Linked DNA regions of Daphnia pulex. Each later gene encodes a partner of the first gene's protein in a complex. Links are inferred from orthologs where the notes say so. Each region holds a gene or a part of one and is shown on either strand. Other genes may lie near its edges. The genes, in order: N6-adenosine-methyltransferase catalytic subunit-like and pre-mRNA-splicing regulator WTAP-like.

Evidence for each region.
Region 2: N6-adenosine-methyltransferase catalytic subunit-like (region 1) and pre-mRNA-splicing regulator WTAP-like share a complex: the UniProt entries of both Homo sapiens proteins name them as parts of the WMM complex. The link is inferred for Daphnia pulex from reciprocal best matches to the Homo sapiens genes METTL3 and WTAP.

Annotation. Positions count from the first base shown.
Region 1 is NC_060028.1:8,119,284-8,123,720, reverse strand, and holds N6-adenosine-methyltransferase catalytic subunit-like, read left to right. Parts: upstream 1-1,439; 5' UTR 1,440-1,612; coding exon 1,613-1,766; intron 1,767-1,822; coding exon 1,823-2,036; intron 2,037-2,097; coding exon 2,098-2,219; intron 2,220-2,282; coding exon 2,283-2,395; intron 2,396-2,449; coding exon 2,450-2,576; intron 2,577-2,639; coding exon 2,640-2,842; intron 2,843-2,912; coding exon 2,913-3,069; intron 3,070-3,138; coding exon 3,139-3,305; intron 3,306-3,384; coding exon 3,385-3,510; intron 3,511-3,641; coding exon 3,642-3,820; intron 3,821-3,951; exon of another isoform or gene 3,952-4,012; coding exon 4,013-4,118; 3' UTR 4,119-4,238; downstream 4,239-4,437. UniProt on the Homo sapiens protein: The METTL3-METTL14 heterodimer forms a N6-methyltransferase complex that methylates adenosine residues at the N(6) position of some RNAs and regulates various processes such as the circadian clock, differentiation of embryonic and hematopoietic stem cells, cortical neurogenesis, response to DNA damage, differentiation of T-cells and primary miRNA processing.
Region 2 is NC_060020.1:5,269,941-5,273,830, reverse strand, and holds pre-mRNA-splicing regulator WTAP-like, read right to left. Parts: upstream 2,517-3,890; 5' UTR 2,401-2,516; coding exon 2,250-2,400; intron 2,177-2,249; coding exon 2,052-2,176; intron 1,946-2,051; coding exon 1,525-1,945; intron 1,290-1,524; coding exon 967-1,289; 3' UTR 761-966; downstream 1-760. Other genes in the region: uncharacterized protein LOC124193179, read left to right, coding at 2,772-2,841, 2,919-3,269, 3,331-3,507, 3,583-3,650. UniProt on the Homo sapiens protein: Associated component of the WMM complex, a complex that mediates N6-methyladenosine (m6A) methylation of RNAs, a modification that plays a role in the efficiency of mRNA splicing and RNA processing.

The DNA.
Region 1 (4,437 bases):
CATCGGGCTTGATCATCAAGTAGGTACGTTCTTGGTTTCCAGACATTTTATTGAAACTTACTTTTGATCGGGACTGAAATTAAAGGAGAAGACCGGCTGACGTACTGGATGTGACTAGTGACTTGAAAGTTCCAACACGACAAGAGGAAGGACGTCCTAGCAGACGACTTCTAACCAACGTGAACGAAACGAAAGTTCCCGAACCGACACTAGTGCCACCTTTTTATTTATAAAAATATGATATGCAAATTGGATCGGTTTACGTTACCTAGTGAATGGTAATGTTAATTTTTTTTAATAACATGGATCCTTGATCCGTTTTTGTACTTTGCTGCCCTTGCCAATTTCCAGAAAAGGCCATCTAGCGACCGTCTAAAATAATATGGAAATTTAATAGGACAATATTTTCAGTTTGATATTTTTATATCTCAGTTAAAATATTAAACACTGATATGTTCAGCCCCCCTTAAATATTTCAATTGATCTAGTCTTCATAAACCCAAACTTTATCAGCTGGCTGCCATGAAACAAGTTCTTCATCCCTGAACCACAAGGCAATTTCCTTGTTGGCACTCTCAACAGAGTCAGATCCATGCATGATGTTCCTAATTTTAAAAAAATTTAACATGTGGTGTAAAGTTATCATTCAAAACTAGTCTTACCTGCCAACTTGAATACAGAAATCTCCTCTGATGGTACCAGGCTTGGAGTCAGCAGGGTTGGTCTCACCCAACATTTGACGGCCAGTCTTGACAATGTTCAAACCCTCCCAGACCTGAAAGTACATTGCATGTATTAAACTAACAGTTAATTGCAGCTAAAGAAATTATTTCTTTACCATTGCAACAACTGGTCCAGATGCCATGTACTTCACCAAACCAGCAAAGAATGGGCGGCCAGACAGGTCAGCATAGTGTTTCTGCAACATCTCCTCAGTAGGCTAGTGACACAAACAAGTTAAAGAACAATCAGAATTAATGGCAGATCCAATTCCTTATAATTAAGAAGTGATTCACACATACCTGGACAAATTTGAGTGCGACCAATTTGAAGCCTTTCTGTTCGAATCTTTTGATGATTTCACCGACGAGTCCTCGCTGGACACCATCGGGCTTGATCATCAAGTAGGTACGTTCTTGGTTTCCAGACATTTTATTGAAACTTACTTTTGATCGGGACTGAAATTAAAGGAGAAGACCGGCTGACGTACTGGATGTGACTAGTGACTTGAAAGTTCCAACACGACAAGAGGAAGGACGTCCTAGCAGACGACTTCTAACCAACGTGAACGACATTTCCCGAACCAACACTAGTGCCATCTTTTTTTTTATTAAAAAAAATATGATATGCAAATTGGATCGGTTTACGTTACCTAGTGAATGGTAATGTTAATTTTTTTTAATTACATGGATCTTTAATCCGTTTTTGTACTTATTGCTGCCCTTGCCAATTTCCAGAAAAAGGCCATCTAGCGGCCGTCTAAAATAATATACACTGAAAGCAGAATGAAAACAATCTGGCTGCTTGTCTGACATTTTCTATCATATGCCGGTTTGTTTGTGAAGTTTTGTTGTTCTTATAATCCCTCACATTTATTTTGATTTGTTCCAAAATGTCTGACGCTTGGGAGGAGATTCAAGCTGTCAAATCAAAAAGAAATGAACTTAGAGAACGGTTACAAAAGAGAAGAAAAGAAAGAGAAGATCTCCTTGGAGGAGGCGATTCAACTTCAACTGTTAAAACAGATAGCAATCAAAAATTTTCAGGTAAATGAGGTTCTAGAACAATGATTCTGATTTTTCAACATTTCTTTTCTTTCTAGATGAAGCATGTGAGATAAATCTGTCAAGTTCCAGCAAAGAAGCCAATAAAGATATTGAAAATTGTGTTCTCAGGATATTAACCGATGCCACACTTTCCTTACCTTCAGATTCCAGAATCATTTGCCATAATGTTTCCACTCAAATTGGATATCTAGTTTCACACACAATTGTCAGTAATCTTCTCCAAAAATTTGCTGCTCAAGAACTTATTAGGTTTGTGTTGTGTGTACACATTTGATTGAGAATCCATATTAAGTATTATTCCATTTCAAAGACTTGTAGATGGCATACAGGAAAATCAGCCAGTACTTACCATCACACATGCTGAGCATGCTCGTCTTGTTGCTATGGTTACTGAAGATCAGTTAGGAAATTCCATATCCTTGAAACGAAAGCGTAATATTCTGTAAATTTATACTACTTTCCACTCTTTGGAATCTAATCATTGCATCAAAACAGAAAATGAAGTGGAAGCTGAAGAGTCGGCTTTACCAGCACAAACTGTAACAGTGAAAGAAGATCTATCTAAGTCCAAAAGAGAAAAAAAAGATTCCAAAAATGATGATGTCATGGTAAAATACATATGTTCACTGTTTTAATACTTATATAACTTGTTGTTTCCTTAGAACTTGTTATCGCTTCCGTCGACACGAGAAAAAGAAAACAAGAAAATGGGCGAAGAAATTCTGGATCTTTTGTCGAAACCAACTGTCAAAGAAAAATCCTTAGCAGAAAGATTCCGTTCACAAGGAGGTTAGTTGACCCTTACGCGACAAATTTTTTTTTGTTACTTTGATTATTAGTAATTTTCTTTAGGGGCTCAGGTTAAAGAGTTTTGCGCCCACGGAACTAAAGATGAATGCCGTAAAGTTTGGATGTCTGAATCAGATGACGGTCTCGAAAGCAAATGGAATTGCCATCGGCTTCATTTTCGTAAAATTATACAGTCACACACAGACGAGTCACTTGGAGATTGTTCTTTCTTGAATACCTGTTTTCATATGGAAACGTGCAAATACGTGAGCTTGTTGCGCAATGTGCATTCCCCCTAGACCTTCTCATTTAAATTCATTTTCTGGAAAATGTTAGGTTCATTACGAGGTTGACCAAGCCATTAAAACAAAGGATGATTTTGAACCCGGCTCCTTGCTCGGTCAGGCAGTGGTCTCGCGAGGTGAAAGCACTGTCCTGTACCCAGCTCAGTGGATTCAGTGTGATTTACGGTCATTGGATATGGCCATTTTAGGTATATGCAACCTTATGTACAGGTCCCATGGTTTTTTTTAATACTCTCTTTTTTACATTTATGATTCAGGTAAGTTTTCGGTTATCATGGCTGATCCACCGTGGGATATTCACATGGAACTTCCATATGGAACCCTTTCTGATGACGAGATGAGACAACTGAGCATTCCTATCCTTCAAGATGAAGGATTGATATTCCTCTGGGTTACTGGTCGAGCCATGGAATTGGGCCGAGAGGTATCATTACATTTTTAAAATAGTTGTTCAACATGTAGCAAAATCAACCAAGTGACTCACGCGTGTTCTCTCTCTCTAGTGCCTTCAGCTATGGGGCTACGAACGGGTCGATGAAATTATTTGGGTCAAGACAAACCAGCTACAAAGGATTATTCGAACAGGTCGAACAGGACACTGGTTAAACCATGGGAAAGAACACTGCTTGGTATTGACGTATTTTCTCACCCTACTACACCTTGCGTTTTAATCACTCTACTAAGCTAGTTAGTAGTTACGTATATATTCTACGAACGTACTTTCCAATACATGCGTATCTGGATTTTTGTTTGGTTATAGGTAGGTATGAAGGGTAATCCCAGAATGCTGAACCGCGGACTGGATTGTGACGTCATCGTGGCCGAAGTGCGGGCAACCAGCCACAAACCAGACGAAATGTATGGCATTATTGAACGTCTCTCGCCCGGAACGCGCAAAATCGAGTTGTTTGGAAGGCCTCACAACGTACAGCCAAATTGGTGTGTTCATTTACTTGACCTTCATGCATTACGTACTCACTGTCCTTCAATTCCGTTCTGCCTATTTGACGCCCGACGTAGTATTTTTGCTCTTTTCCTTCTAATATTTTGTGGTTAGCTTTTCATGGACGCTAGTAAGGAAATGAGAATTTTATCACGTGCAAGTAAATGACATTGTTACATGATATTTAGGATTACCCTGGGAAATCAACTCGATGGTGTCCATCTGCTTGATCCAGACATTGCCCGAGCCTACCAGAAACACTATCCAGATGCCAGTGCCCCCAATGCCAAATGAAATTTGCGAATCGCTCCGAATTACTTTTTTCCGCATTTTCAACGTTCATTCATTTTGATCCACCCATTTTTAATAAGTGTCACACACCTCGATTGCGTAAAATAAAAAAATTAGAAAGAAGAGAATGATAAACTTTGTTACTGGATACTTTTTGTTGCACCTCAAGAGGCCGTTGTTGAAATTTGAACGATTTACACCGCAAAAGTCCGCGACTTTACCATGCATTGATCACGTGAATCATGCCTTTTTGTTCAACTGAGATCGTCAAGTTGAGAAAATAAAAATTATTCACTGATTGCATAACCGGAAAGGGGAATCG
Region 2 (3,890 bases), on another chromosome or scaffold:
TTCTGAAATCGCGATAAATAATCCAACAAAGGAACTAAAAAATCTAAAGATAAAATAAAAAGAAACCAATATAAAAAAAACTTTAAATCACATCAGATTCAGTCCTGAACTTCATTTATATACTTGAAACACTTAGAAATTTTAGCAAAAGCTCGATGAGTTGCTCGAGACGGTATTTCACCCTGCCACCCCACGTCGCACACTCGCACTTTATTACCTGGAATTGACGAATTGTAGGTATTCTATTATTATTAGAAAGTGAGATATTACATCTGTAAAGTCTAATTTATGAAATCGTAAAAATACCACGATTCATTAGTAGAACTTTGTTCATAAAAAGTTCATAACGAGAATGCGTATATGTCACACACACACATACGATTTCCCGAATGGCTTTTTATGCGATGAATTTGTGCTCCAAAGAGAAAAACCGGTGGCTAGGATCTATTATTTCAGATATCGCTATTTAGCCATTTAAGCTTCATGACTAAAGAATCGCGCAAAATTTGGAAGAATATGACGCCATACTGGGAAAAACCAATATAACATCCTCTCAACAATCCTCTCATATGCCCAAAAAACTCGAAAAATCGAATCAAAATTTCGGCACGATTGAAAATCATAATAATTAAAAATGTAGGATAATAAATGGAAATAATAATAATAGGAAATATAAGATAATAAGTTATAGGATACGAGCCTATAACTAACTGTTACTAATTTTGCAGCTTCAATCGCAGTGTATAATAAGGCTGTTTGATCTGAAGAAAATTTTACTCGTCGTATTAACTTACTCGTACACTACAATTGGCAATAAAAAAATCAAGTCTACACAAAAAAAAATAATGGATTACAATATGTCCAAGACCCGATATAAACGATGAAAATCCATCACGAAAATTAAAACCAACTACTCGTAATCGAATCAGGTTTGACGTTTTACGAAAGGTAAGTTTAAAGTAATAGTTAGTCATTGTGAAAAGATGGCTGAAGAGGGCCATTACACCGATCACTATCATTCATAAGATGAGAAGAGTTCGACTGCAAATAAGAAGGTTCGCACATCCTTTCGTTTAACTGATTTTCCGATTGAGAAGAGTTTACCGGGGATTTTTCTTCATCTGCGCCTGTGTTGGCCGTGTTTGTGCTGGTATTACGAAGAAGTTCATTTTCTTTTTGAGCTGCAGATAGTTGGTCCCGTGTTTGGCGCAACTGTTGCTGTAGAAAATAAATAGTTGATTGCATACCTTCAACATCTTCATCCAATTCCAATAAGAATTCATCTAATTCTGAAAAATAAAAATAAAATGCTAAAATTAAAAGATAAGTCAGTACAGTACATTTAAATTATGATAAGATTCAGGCACTTTTGAGAAAACAAGTTTTGGTTCTAGAAACGAATCAATTCACAAATTATGAATCCTTCATTTGAGACAGAAAAAACAAATCAAATTTCATAACTGTGGCATTCTTATTACAAAACTTAATCAAATTAAAGAAATATAGTAAACAAAATTAATTCACCTGATTGAGATTTCTTCATCTCCTCACTGAAGTTTCGCTGAAGAGCTAAATCCCCTTCCAATTTAGCCAGCCTGCCAGAGGAAATCATCCTTCCTAGTTCTTCATTTTCTTGGTAAAGTAGTCTACATTTCGCCATTAAACGTTTCCCAGTATTGCTATAAGTTTTTTCAACAATAAAATTTAGAATAGAGAGGTGAGCTGTTAGTAACTTAAGATAGAATAAGACTACTATAAAGAAAAACCTGTCTGGAGTGAATTTCCAAGCGCTCAGTTCATTTTGAGTTTCTTCAAATGCTGATTTAGCTTTATCAAGCTCTTTACGCAAATGTTGGATTAGAACATTGACTGATGGATCTAACAGTGATGACCTCAAGGATGTTGAGTTACCAGCTTGTGATGATTTCAGTTCTTGAATTTGGACCTGTCATAATTTGTGAAAATAAGTAAATGGCACAGTAATTCTGAAAATTCATTAAGATGAATGTGATTGCATTCATTTTGATCAAATACATTTTCATTAAACTTACTATTAGATCTTGAATTTCTTGTTCTTTAGAGTTCAAACGCATTAAAAGAAAATTTTCCCTTCTTCCAGATTCAGATGAAATTGAATGTTTAAGTTTTTCTTCAAACTCTCGTACTGGAGTCAATGCTGATAGTAATTTAAATGAATGAAACAAATAAGCTACCGTAGAAACTGGTATGAATGTAGAAAATAAGCCAACCATTCTGAGCAGTTGATAGCTGTGACTCCAGCCAATTAATGTAGTTTTCCTGCTTCATCCATTGCTGATGTAATTGGGATTTGTCAAGATTAACTAATTCTTCATGAGTTAATAAAACTCTAATAGGAGAGCATCGTTCCACTTCACCCATTATTATAACGTGCTTACAGCTTGATGCTCGATGATCATTAACACTTGTCTCCACTCAATTTCAAAATCTGATGATAGCTACGGCTACAATGCAATATCCCTCTGCTGTGAATGCAACTGTGTATTCAGAAAAGTTTCGAAGTACCTTCCCACCCCCAGCCAGCCCCCAGCCCACCAGCACCAGAAGCAGTAGTTCTTCTTTTAACCCCGCACATTACCATCGGTATGTCCGTAAACCCGCAGTTTAGTCAAATTCTTGTAATAACGCGGAATATTGTCTGCTACTGAGTACTGACACATGTCTGGTTGTCCTTGTCCGTCTCACTCGCACAACGTGGAAAATAAAAGTTCTTTTTTTTTAATACAAATAAGATGGCTTCGGTGCAGTATGAATATTGCCCAGATCCAGAAGACAGCGATTTGGTTTTCAACATACCAGCAGGTACTTCATTTCTTTTAATTCCTTTGATGGAACTTGTGTGTTTCTCGTTACAACAAAGTGTTTATTTTTCTTTCCAGGAGATGAAACAAATCTAGCTGTTGAAGAAAATGACTCTGCGTCAGATTCAGATGAAGCTCCTGATGATGTATCCTTTAGTAAATCAAAAGTTGCAGCTCTTTCAATACTTAAAGCAGAGGAACAGTTCAAACGCATAACTAAAGAAGAACAAAAAAAACGAAGACAGAAAAAAGAAGCATTGATGAAAGAACAGAAAGCTAAAACCCTTCAGTCTTTGGCTTCAAAAAGGTTACCTGATAACTTAGTGGACGTCATTTCAGCTCAACCTGTTCAACAACAATCTCAACAAGATTCTGAGAAAAAGCAAAGAAAGAGAACTAAATCTGGGAATGCCTCCAGTGGTCATATAAGTATTTTTCGATAGCTTTTAAAATAAATGATCTGTTGTCTCATAAATTGCACAATTACTAGGGTTTGAAAAAGAACATTACATCCCATTGGAAACGGGAGAAGTGGAATCATCTGACTTTAGTGTTGCAGTTCTTGAATCAAGGAAGTGGAAAAATAAGTTTTCCAAACCAGGCTCCAGTGTTCCAAAGGATTTTCGTCATAGGATGTTGTACGGTCGATCTAACCGACGACAATCAAGTGAGACCCAAGTCGTTATGAAGCCAGAAAAAAAACGTATTAATATATATATTTTTGTTTGTTTTTTTTTTTCAGTCAAGGATATTGAACAAGCCAGAGTGAAGCAGGCATTGTCTGGTAAAATGCGATGGGTAGTTTCTTGATTTATGTGTTTTGGCTGAAAAGTTGTGCAAAAAAAAAATGTCTGAGGTGTTTCAAATAAATGACTTAAAACACATGTGAAGGGTGAGACAAGCCTCCAATTTGTACTGGAAGAAACCAAGTAAGACAAACATTACAGAACCATTCATTTGGGTTTCTGTTTTTAATAAAGAAACAGGATTCTGGCATGAAACGAAATATTCTTAATCTAGGATGACACTCGCACATCATGATTCCATGTT